3 linked regions of the Saccharomyces cerevisiae S288C genome follow. Changing the gene in region 1 together with any one later gene gives a genetic interaction. Each region holds a gene or a part of one and is shown on either strand. Other genes may lie near its edges.

What was found. Genes that interact genetically often act in the same process or in processes that back each other up.
Region 2: mutations in YPT7 (region 1) and LDB18 together harm fitness more than expected from each alone (negative genetic interaction), as found in Saccharomyces cerevisiae (3 studies listed by BioGRID).
Region 3: mutations in YPT7 (region 1) and AVL9 together harm fitness more than expected from each alone (negative genetic interaction), as found in Saccharomyces cerevisiae (3 studies listed by BioGRID).

What each region holds. Positions count from the first base shown.
Region 1 is NC_001145.3:264,396-268,478, forward strand, and holds YPT7 (Rab family GTPase YPT7), read left to right. Parts: upstream 1-2,778; coding exon 2,779-3,405; downstream 3,406-4,083. Other genes in the region: VRL1 (Vrl1p), read left to right, coding at 146-2,359. UniProt on the Saccharomyces cerevisiae protein: Ypt/Rab-type GTPases are key regulators of membrane trafficking and intracellular vesicular transport.
Region 2 is NC_001144.5:38,737-41,705, forward strand, and holds LDB18 (Ldb18p), read left to right. Parts: upstream 1-1,929; coding exon 1,930-2,469; downstream 2,470-2,969. Other genes in the region: FRE6 (putative ferric-chelate reductase), read right to left, coding at 1-735; COF1 (cofilin), read right to left, coding at 1,068-1,485, 1,665-1,678; bile acid-transporting ATPase YBT1, read right to left, coding at 2,544-2,969. UniProt on the Saccharomyces cerevisiae protein: May be involved in protein-linked oligosaccharide phosphorylation since the deletion reduces the negative charge of the cell surface.
Region 3 is NC_001144.5:374,444-378,906, reverse strand, and holds AVL9 (Avl9p), read left to right. Parts: upstream 1-1,668; coding exon 1,669-3,963; downstream 3,964-4,463. Other genes in the region: cleavage polyadenylation factor subunit CFT2, read right to left, coding at 1-922. UniProt on the Saccharomyces cerevisiae protein: Functions in the late secretory pathway. Required for the generation of secretory vesicles as well as for actin polarization and polarized growth.

The DNA of each region.
Region 1 (4,083 bases):
ATTTAAATTACACGACATCACTCTTATTGAAAGGCGTCTCCATCTAGCGTCCAAACATCTTCAAAAGTTGGCTTTGACCCATTCATACGCTGAAAAATCTAAAATATTAGTTGAAACTCTACAGAAATTATCAGGTACTACCGAAATGGATTCACATCAACTAGAACTACCAGACGGATTGAATAACATGACGATGGATGCAGACACTTTAATTAGCCTTTTTGTGCTCGTTGTTTGCAGAAGTGAACAAAAGCACCTTAAAAGTCATCTTTACTATTTGCAAAATTTTTCGAATAACTCTTCTTCTACAAAATTCGGCATTCTAGGGTATGCTGTATCCACACTGGAAGCAGTGGTTTGTTATTTCGAAGACTTCAACAAAAATACAGGCAACGTGGCGAAAGCTAACACATTATGTGAAAAAACTAAGAATTTATTAGATAAGTTGTCATGTGAAAACCCCACAAATGAAGTAGAAGATCTGGCAACATACAAGGATATTTTGACCTACAGAAATGAGCAAGGACAATCCATTCTATCCATATGTATAACAAATCATAAAAACTACATCTTATTAGATATTCTTTCTGAATATGAAAACGACTTTCCAGTAGAAGACCTTTTAGAGGACGAAACGATTGATGGTTCTACGCTGCTTATAGAATCGATAAAAGCAGGAAATTTAGAAGCCGCGAAAGTTCTCATAAAGATCATGCTGTTCAATTGTACTGAAGAGGAGCTGGTTTCTTATATCAATAAAACAGATAAATATGCACGTACCGTGGCTCATTATCTAACCCATGAAATGGATATACTTAAAAGCATCGGAAATTATATTGATTGGAAACGAAAAAATTCCAGTGGACAAACGCCTTTATTTTCCATCTTTAGAAGTTATGATCAACCAAATTATGAAGAAATGGTGAAGACCGCATTTGATATCGCAAATACTTGGTATAGAAAGCACAACAGTTTGTTTGACTATCTAGACCACACCGATAATAAGGGCAATAGCTTGTTGCATGTTTTGAAAACAAACATTCCAATCCTTTTACAACTGACTAAGCTAGATATTAATGAGGAAAATTATAAGGGATTGACGCCATTAATGGTATATGTGAAGTACAAAAGACTAAGTAATATTGACGCCATCACGAAAGACCGTCGACTTATATTAGAGAAGGTTCAAAACTCGACCTTCTTCACTTGTTTTGATTATGCAAAAGATCACTCGGTACTAAGCAAGATAGGAGAAAGGGGTGTCAAAGATTCACTTTTTGGATTAATATATTTTCATTCTTTGCGATATCATAATTTAAATGCGACAACAAATATAACATCCGTTTCAAATGCAGAGAAACCTTTCGCCACTACTGTTATTAACATGAAAACAATTCAAGGCTTACTACGCTCAATTCTGAAAGACAATCCGTTCACCTTTTTGCCATTAAATACCTATATCGATGAAATATCGCACTTAAACCGTTCTGATTTAACAATAATCGGGAAAACAGATGTCACATCGTTACTTCACCAATTAACTAACTGCTTCAACGTTCTTTTATTCCTGAAAAAAATTCCAGAAAATTTGTTCACTGATGAGGCTTCTATCTTATATTGGATGCGCATAAACACTTCTAAAAGAAACCAGAAACCCTCAGGAAAAGAAAATCCAAAAACAATGGAACCCGAGGAGATTAATATGATACAAAGCTTTTTACGTTTTAATTTTGATGAGATTTCATCATTTAAGGCAAGCTTGAATATTTTGAGGAAAGTCTTAATATTTATTAATTTGAAATCCGATGATTTCGAGGATGCTTATAAGGGTCTTAACGAAATGGGTAGAAAATTAATTAATAGTGAAGCATCCAGCGCATTTAAGGGGATTATAACAAATCATAATATGTTCAGTGAATTATCGCTAGCAGCACTACTAGAAAACGTGCGTTTCTTGGAACAATGTACTATCCAACTATCTAGTTTCGTTCAGATAATTTTATTTGAAAAAATTCCGAACTGGTGGAAACATTATGGTGAGTTTTTAGCTTTACATAAAAGCTATCGGAAGGCTTTTCCTAACATGGTTAAGCCAAAAAGTGCATCAGATACCTCTAGTCGTGCTCCACTTGGTGGTTTTATTGAAACGAAGCGTGAACAATCGGAGCAAAGACTAGCGGTTCAGATAAAGGCCTCTTCAAAAATGCTCAAAGAACTTGGAAGCGAAATTTTTGTAGCTCACGAAAGGTTGGCCGAGGAACTAAGCAATTATATGGAGTTCAGGAAGGCGTGCTTAGATCAGCGTAGTCTTGTGGCATTTGCCACAACCAACATTAGCGTTCTTCAAGAATGTGTTTAAGATTGACTGAGCATTGCAATATTTTACCTTCTTCTCACTTGTTCTATAGAATTTTTTACCCAAAAATAAGAGATAAAGAGTTTGAAAGAAACATCATTACATATATATATATATACGGGCAGCTCCGTAACTCGAAAAGAGTGACAGCTGTTTTACTCTGTAATAGCTGACGATTCTTCAGTGATTGGAATAACCTCAGAACTCACCGGTACGGGTAACGTTTGTATCTCGCGGATTAACTTTTCGCATTTCGACCTACTGAGAGAAGAAGTTCCTTTTGTTAATCTGTACCTTTATCTTGAAAGCAGTCGTTACAGAGGAACAGCATTGGGAATCACCAACAAAATAAGAGGAATAAGCTCATCCAGTCCACTTCTTATCCATATAGAAACCCCTTCTGTATCAATTCAAATTAAGTGATGTCTTCTAGAAAAAAAAATATTTTGAAAGTAATCATCCTAGGTGACTCTGGTGTTGGGAAGACCTCCTTGATGCACCGTTATGTCAATGATAAGTATTCTCAACAGTATAAAGCAACAATTGGGGCTGACTTTTTAACAAAAGAGGTGACAGTTGACGGTGATAAAGTTGCCACCATGCAAGTTTGGGATACTGCTGGACAGGAACGTTTCCAATCACTGGGTGTTGCTTTCTATAGAGGTGCAGATTGTTGCGTTTTGGTCTACGATGTGACCAATGCCAGTTCCTTTGAGAATATTAAGTCTTGGCGAGATGAATTTCTAGTGCATGCGAACGTAAACTCACCAGAAACATTTCCATTTGTTATACTGGGAAATAAAATTGATGCCGAAGAATCTAAAAAAATTGTATCAGAAAAGTCCGCTCAGGAGCTTGCTAAATCATTAGGCGATATTCCTTTGTTTTTAACAAGTGCCAAAAACGCCATAAACGTTGATACCGCATTTGAAGAAATTGCAAGGAGTGCTTTACAACAGAATCAAGCTGATACAGAAGCCTTTGAAGATGACTATAATGATGCCATCAATATTCGCCTAGATGGAGAAAATAATTCTTGTAGCTGTTGAGCTGTACTACTTAATTGTATCTTCTATTATGTAATCCTTTATAGCGTATCCTTAAAAAAATTAATAATTTAAAACTACTAAATATATTTAGGGATGTGATGGCCCTTTCAATATGAGGCTTTCGATTACCATGTGCAATCTGTCTATGAACCTTAGTTAATTAACACAACTGTTAAATAAAGCGATTTACTACACTTGAGATAATATAACTCAACAAAACGTGACAAAAAATCACATGACTACCTAACAAAATATTTATTTTTCTTTTTTAATATTTGAAAATACTAAAATATTTTTGTTGTTTTTTGAAAAAAGGATTTTTAATGTGTATGCGTTCCGAACTTTAAATATAACGTCAGCGTAAAAATAATTTTTCTCCGAATGTATATCGAAATCTCAAATTGCTCTTAGAGATTTAGATTTCAACGACAGGATAAATTGGCTAGAGTTGAAAAAACTGCACAGAGTATATAAAAGATCTTGCAATGGATGATTAAAATTTACGGTATTTCATTTTTCCAATGAATGGCTTTTCTAAGAGAAATTAATTTCGCAATTTGTTGATGAGAAGTTCTGGCTACCTTAGTCACTATTTATTTTACTATGGCGGTATAAGTTTCTCCCGCCTTGAAAAAAGGAATACAGTAATAAAATGAATATAAATCAGGATTTTTTGGA
Region 2 (2,969 bases), on another chromosome or scaffold:
TGCCTCCAAGGAATTCGGCATCAGTCCCGTAAAGACTTCCACGTTTAGAAACTTGAAGTGATTAGCGTGCTTATCTACTAAAAACGTAGGCAACACAAAATGGCCCCGAATATAATTGACGAACCGGCTTGCAAATAGCGCTCGATTCAGGCCGTTATAGTGACTCATATGGAAGAAGACGGCGATAATACCCACTATGACGAAGTAGTAAGTTAAATATGCACCATAAACACTGCTGATATCTAAATTATAGGCATGCGCATGAAAAGCTCGTATCCATCTAGATCTTGTCTCACGATCGACTCGAATGGATGTCGATAAACTTTCAATAGAACCATAGTCTTCCAAAGCGTGAGAAGAAGCATTATTTAAAGATGAGTAGTATTGCTCCAGTGAAATATTGCTAAACTTTTTATCGACAAACGAGCACGTTTTTCGTACGTTACCCAAGCTTTCTTCGAAACTTGTGTTGTCCATGGGAATAATCTGGTCTGTAAGCGAATTGAAGATACAAAGTGACCAAGTATCAAACGCTGGTGAATAAGAGCATATGGTAGAATAGAAACCCGGTACGACGGAGCTATCAAATGACCACTTCAGAGTATTTATATAGGATGCGCATGCCAGCACAGCGTTGGATTCCAAATGGTCTTTTTTTTCAGTGTGTGGTAATTTTATATTAAAAGCCTTTGTTAAAGATATCAGCCACGTTAAAAACAGAAGCGTTCTATGCATATTCAACGAGCTATGGTCGTCATGCTTCACTTTAGAAGATTATAGAAAAATCATTGCTGCCTGGTTCGATGACCTTGTATCTTTTCTTGATCTACATGGCCAGTATTTCCGTTCTGAATTTAGAATTACAAATATGGGTGCAAAAACAATGCCCACTAGCCGGGGTGTACGGGACCTTAAATCTAAGTATTGTGTTTTAGATAGAGTTGCGAAGAGAAAATTATAATTATAATAATTCTATACATGTATTCTGTATATATATGACGATTTTATATATAGATATACATTTTCATTTTTCTTGAAGATTGTTGTCATTTGTGAAATCATTTACCTTAATGAGAACCAGCGCCTCTGCTGACTCTTTCCAAAACAGAATCGTAAGAAACTTCGGAAAAATCAGTACCTTGAACATCGGTAGAGACACCGTTTAAGGCTCTTCTTAAGGCATCCTTGGAGGATGCATAGACCATCTTAGATCTGACTGGAGCAGTGTCTGGAGACCAAGTGAAGAAAACAATCTTGGATCTCTTACCTTCATTACCATTAATTTCGTATTCAAAATCGTAAATGGCGTAAAGACAGTCGTTTTCTGGCAATTTCTCTAAGAAGGCATCGTAAGATGGGTCAGTAGAGGTTTCCTTGACAACGATTTCGGTTTTAGCATCGTTCAATCCGAATAAAATAAATTTGTATTTTTTACCCAATTTCAAGTCATTGAAAGCGGTAAGGGATTCATCAGCAACAGCAACACTACACAGAAACTTCACATTTTCCTGGCTTCTTATGAATTTTTTCCCCCACATTCCTTTTAAAGTTCCATGTTAAAAAGGGAGGAAAGAAAGGACATAAGAGAGCGAGATAAAACAGCATCATGTCAATTAGTTAGTAATTGATAGTTTACACAGGAGTACAAATGAAATTTAGCATACCCAGATCTAGACATCTTCTTTTGTTAGTTTTTTGTTTATGTATGTTTTGAAATCTGAAGTTTACGTAGTTGCTAACCAGTCTTTTCTTGTTTCCTCTTTTTCTTCCAATTTTGTCATCAAACAGGGGCGGCGTCACCCGAATATTGTTCTTATTACCCGGATATTAGGTAATTTAGAGGTACTGCATATAGTATAAGTGATTGATGAACTTATAGAATGTTCTCTCGAGCTTCCAAGGCCATTAGCCTCTACCAAAGGAAGTTTGATGCCTGGTCTTAAGCTTGTTGAAGCTTTAGAATACAGGTGTGACCGATTGGAGCGGCTTATAGGCGCCGGATACAGCGCGAATTCCGATGTTTCAGTGCAATTAGATGAACTATACAATCAGTTACATCGTCTATATTTCCAGGGTCTAAAGTATTCTCAAGATCTCCTGCAACTCTTTAATACTTTCATGGCTGAAGACATCGAGAACGTGGGAGCTCCTGATGATATTTGTATTTTTGCTAGTTGCTTTGACGATATTTATACATTATATAGTGCATTTGACGAACTAAACAGCCAATATATGGAGTTTTGCCAAATCAGTAAAAGTTCATTGGATCAGATTTCCTTCAAAGACGCAAATATTGAAACGAAACAGTTGAAGAAGTTACCCGAGTTGGTGGATAACTGCAACATAATGATTTTGAGGTCAATTGCAATTCTAAACCGTTTCATCGACTGGAATATTGAAGTTAACGGATTCTTCCAGTTCCAGAAAAAGAGGCTGTTGAATTTACAAAAGGTAATTTATAGTACGTGAACATGTGTGCGTATATACATATATATATATATATATATATATATATATATATATATACTTTAGCATCGAAACAGCTAGTCCTTTTTAGAGTTCAATTTTTCCACAAAGGCTTTTTTAGCCAATTCAATTAGGATATCCAATTCTCCACTATGCTCACACATGCTATAAAAGGCACTTTGTTTGTTAAGTAACAAAGAATATGGGTGATCATACTCTTTTACCTCACCTGCATCCATCACCAAAATTTTATCATAATCGATAACAGATCTCAACCTATGTGCAATTGTCAAAATTGTACTACCTTGGAACTCTTTTCTTATGGTTTCTTGGATCTTCGCATCGGAACTGTAGTCGATGGACGCTGTAGCTTCGTCCAGCAATATGATCTTTGGACTCCTCAGTAAAGATCTAGCAAGGCACATCAATTGGCGCTGTCCTTGAGACAAATTGGATCCACCTTCGCTAATTTCACTACTTAAATCCAAGAATTTATTAACATT
Region 3 (4,463 bases), on another chromosome or scaffold:
ATGTCTTAAGTAGTGAAGGGGACAGCCACTCGAGCATTGATTTGGCATATGTTAGAGTTCTTCCTCTCGCGTAAGACAGAATAAGTACAGGTACTTGTGTGTGCGCATTGATCTTTGTGCTTTCAAATAATAACTCATGAACTTGTGTGAACAGGTCCAGAAATTTGCCACTCATATCTACCGGTATTATAACGGACCCATCCGAACTCAAACCTTTCTTTAATGTATCTTTAAAGATTTTTGAACGTTTTTTAAACGGTTGAGAGGAGCCAAACCTGTCCAAAGTAGTAATTATTGCAGAGGGCCTCATCAAAGTTGATAAGGGCTTACCAGTGGCGTCCAATATAGAAGCAGCATTTAGTATGTTATCTCTAGTGTGGTTCCATCGCTTTGCATAAACCAATTTCTCTGAGTATGTGCTAATGCACCAAATAGAACCACCTGGACACACACCAGCATTGTACGCCAGTAAAGTCAATCCATCGTATCTTGATCGTAGATCTACCAATTGCGAGTACTTCAAAGGTACAATATGATCAAAAGATATCTCAATATCTTCAAGATCGAGTTTATTTGTGTCATATGGACCTATAACACCTGCAGATGCATATGAATCTATGGTGGAAACTCTCCCTAAGTTGATAACAGGAAGAGTTGCGTAAACTTGAATTCTGGATATGAAATGCGAGGTAAAATTATAGTACAGAAGGGAATGAGCACCTAAACATTCAATTGTTGGTTGTGATAGTATTATTACATCAATTTCCGGTATCACTTTTTCCCAGTACTTGATGCATTGCTCATACGATACTTTAGATGGATTCCAACCGGGATCGATTAACAAGGTGACGTTATCAAATCGTACCACTGAACCAACGGTGGTTCCTGATCCATCATCACAGCAATTGTATTTATAAGTCATATATATTCGTCGCCCTCAATGTATGTTCTTCATTTCATCTTCTGTGTTATTTCTTTAGCGAACAAATATTCGTGAATTCGATGTTAAAACTGCAGATTGTTTAAGAAAAGCGGGAAAACGCCGCCGAAAGAAAAAATCTTTTTCTAGTAATATTTCTTATTACAACAAACATTGAACATTGAATGACTTCAATCCGTAAGGGTTCATTGCTTGTATAGTTGGACTATATGTCATAGGTGAATCATTATTTCTTGAACTCAGGTTCGCTTTACTCAGTCTAGTGCACGTGAGATTACACTGCAAAAACTCCATGAACCAAAGAACTTACCTTAGACTTGCATTTGGGAGCAAAGTTTACACTAATTAATGCTTTTTATTTTTATTGTCCCAACCTTCTAATGTGTGGATTATTAATGGGGTAAGTTGAACTTCTATTACTTCCATTGAACGTTTGAGAAGTATCATTGCTTAGGAGGTTTGCCTAGCAAAAATAGCCGCTGAAATGATGCTTGTCCGTCGGGTAATGATTATACGAACGGGTAACGGAAGATATGGAAGCTAACCCAACAGAGAGCAGTCAATAATGGATCTTGCATAAGAATGTACGGCCCGATCAAGCATCCTTACAGCTCATTCACGAAGTTTCCTTTTCAAGAAAATTTTGAAGCCTTAAAGGAATCCAAGCAGGAAGACCATATCAAACTAACATATACATTCTGCCTCGCTGCAACCTTGTTGTCAAAATAATGGATGAACACGAGGAAGCAGTCATCTTCGGTATCTGCCTTGTGGACTTTCATCACAAAAGAGGCCCTGAAATAGAATACTGGTATGGCTTACCTGAGGGCACCCAAAGTGCAGAACTATGGCCAAATTTACCCTTCCAGGCCCTTCCTGATGGTTCTCACTCGTTTGAAGAAACATTTACTTATTTCACATTACTATATGATGAAAGAAGACAAAGGAGCCCTCCCAACGGGGCAACTGATCTGAGTGATGATAGCATCAATGACAACACGACTTTGTTTGCCATATCTTGCTCGAGACAGATAAAGAGTGATGAATTGGTCACTAAAGATAAGGATGTAACACGATCTACTGTACAGAAGGCAATTGTAGTCATCTCAAGGCAACCAATCTTCGGTCAAATCAAGGACAAACTTAGTATTGTGACTAATGCTTTTTTCTTGCAGCATGATTTTGGGGACAGGAAGATAATCCAGTCTTTATACGAAAACCTGAAGTCGATTTACACGCCTGCATCATTGGTCAGAAATGCCGAAAATCGTCTTTATATTGGGTTATGTCTGAGAAAGATACTACATGATTTTAAGAGAAACGCTTTAGTCTTATTGAAAGCAATTATGCTTGAAAAAAAAATTATAGTTTACGGCAACGACGTGGAAGCTTTGTGTAATTTACAGTTCGGTCTGATCAGCTTAATTCCGGACTTGATGTCAAATTTGCAGGATTCTGGCAGTCCTCAGTTGTTTCAGGATATTTCGAAATTAAATGTTGTGGACTCGTTTAAATCAAGCAATCGAGAATCAGTGTTGAGATTCTTAGGTTTTCCATTACCGATTTTCGAAAAAGGTGGACTATTTTCACCCTATACTCCACTGCAGCAAATGAATGACATACGGTCAGAACGTACTTTGTTTTTTATGATTGGAAGTTCCAACACATTGCTTGCTGAACAAAAGGAGGAACTGTGCCACATATTTGTCAATACAGACAATTCCACTGTAGATATTCTGGACAAGACTTTGAACCCCGTCCTCCAATTGTCAAGTCATGATAAAAAATGGATTGAATCTATATCTGGAATTGTATCAGACACATGGAACGAAAATGATGATGAAACTCCAAAAAACTCTCAATTTGAAGGCAGTGAGGATTTCATTAGGTGGCAATTCGAGGACTATTTAACGGGGTTACTTTCCAGTGTTAAATTAAGTGATTATTTGGACCTGCATAAAGAGAATGATCAAGCTTTGAAGACTATACCTGAGGATATGCTAAATTCCAATCCCGTTCATTTATTCAATTTGAATTGGGTTCAGAGTTGGAAAGAGACTCAAAATTTTCTGATATTCAACTCAAGAACAGATGATAGATTGTTCGACTTGTTTCCTCCGAAGCATATATATAACGGTGCCGACACTCTGTCTCTATTACAGCAACGATTTTTGGCCACATTTCATAATTTAAAAAGAAGCTCTAGCAACTCTTCAAGCAATAAAAATGGTCATCAAAGCGAGGAGGATATCAAAGACCAGGAAAGCATCGAGTCAAAAAAGTCTGTTTCCCAAATTTCTGTAAATCCTGGAAAGAATACAGACAAGCCAGCAGCCAACTTATGGAATTCATGGAAGGAATATTTCAATAAACCAAAGAATACTGCTAATGAAGATGTTACTGAATCCACAGAAGATCTCAAAAACAGAAGTAAAACATCGAACGCGATACAGAAAGCTATGATGGGCTTGGGTTTACATTATAAACCTGATGCGGAGACAGATCAACAAAGTGAAGAGGTGGGAAATAGTGAGGACAATGAAGATGATGATACTGATGAGGACTCTGAGGATGATGATGATGATGGTGGTGATGACGATGATAGTGAGGACGATGACGATGACGATGACGGTGAGGGCGATGAAAATGGCGATGACGGTGAGGGCGATGAAAATGGCGATGACGGTGAGGGCGATGAAAATGGCGATAAGGAAGACAGTCAAGATTTTAGCAATGGTTTTACAGACGTTACGAACATTAACACTGATCATGATAAAGAAAATGAACAGAATTTTGAGGGTAATGCAGAAAATTTTAATGAGGACGAAACCGTTGCAGATAAAGATATTGAAGGTGGTCCTGAGAGCAATAAAAATTCCGACAGTAAAACTGATATTTATGAAAACGATAGAAATGTTGAAGACTCATCTAAAACGAGAAATACAGTTAAAAAATCCAATGAGGAGGGCGGTGCGAATGACGCTGCTATAGGTAATTGTGTGCAGGATGAGGAAAAATTATGATATCTATACTATTTGTTAGCAATCGCGCTAAGATATGTTTATATGACAAAAAGAAAATCAAGAAACAGAGCCCTCCAGTTGTGAAAGTTGCAGGGGAAAAAATATCCGTGAATCTCAATACCTTTAGTCGTATTGGGATAATAGCTGAATAATAATTTATAGAAAACTGGGGTGACCTCCACAAGCACAATAAGATTCAGAAATTATAGAATATAGCTTTTTGGGGCTTTCCAAAAATGGAATAGAAAATTTTTTGAAGTTATTCTATTTGCATAGACGCTCATCAAACTATGTTTAAAGATTAACTTCATAGTAATCTTTTGAATGCTTTTTAGCTTCCTAAAGATGAATAACGTAGAAAGTTGAAATATTTAGAAACAATCGCAGTATCCTTGCTAGACCCTCTTTAATATTAATAGTAATCTTGCAAACAATAAAGATAAGTAAAGTTAACGATAAAAGCATCATTTTCAACAAAACTGAAGGGTAGCGACATAATT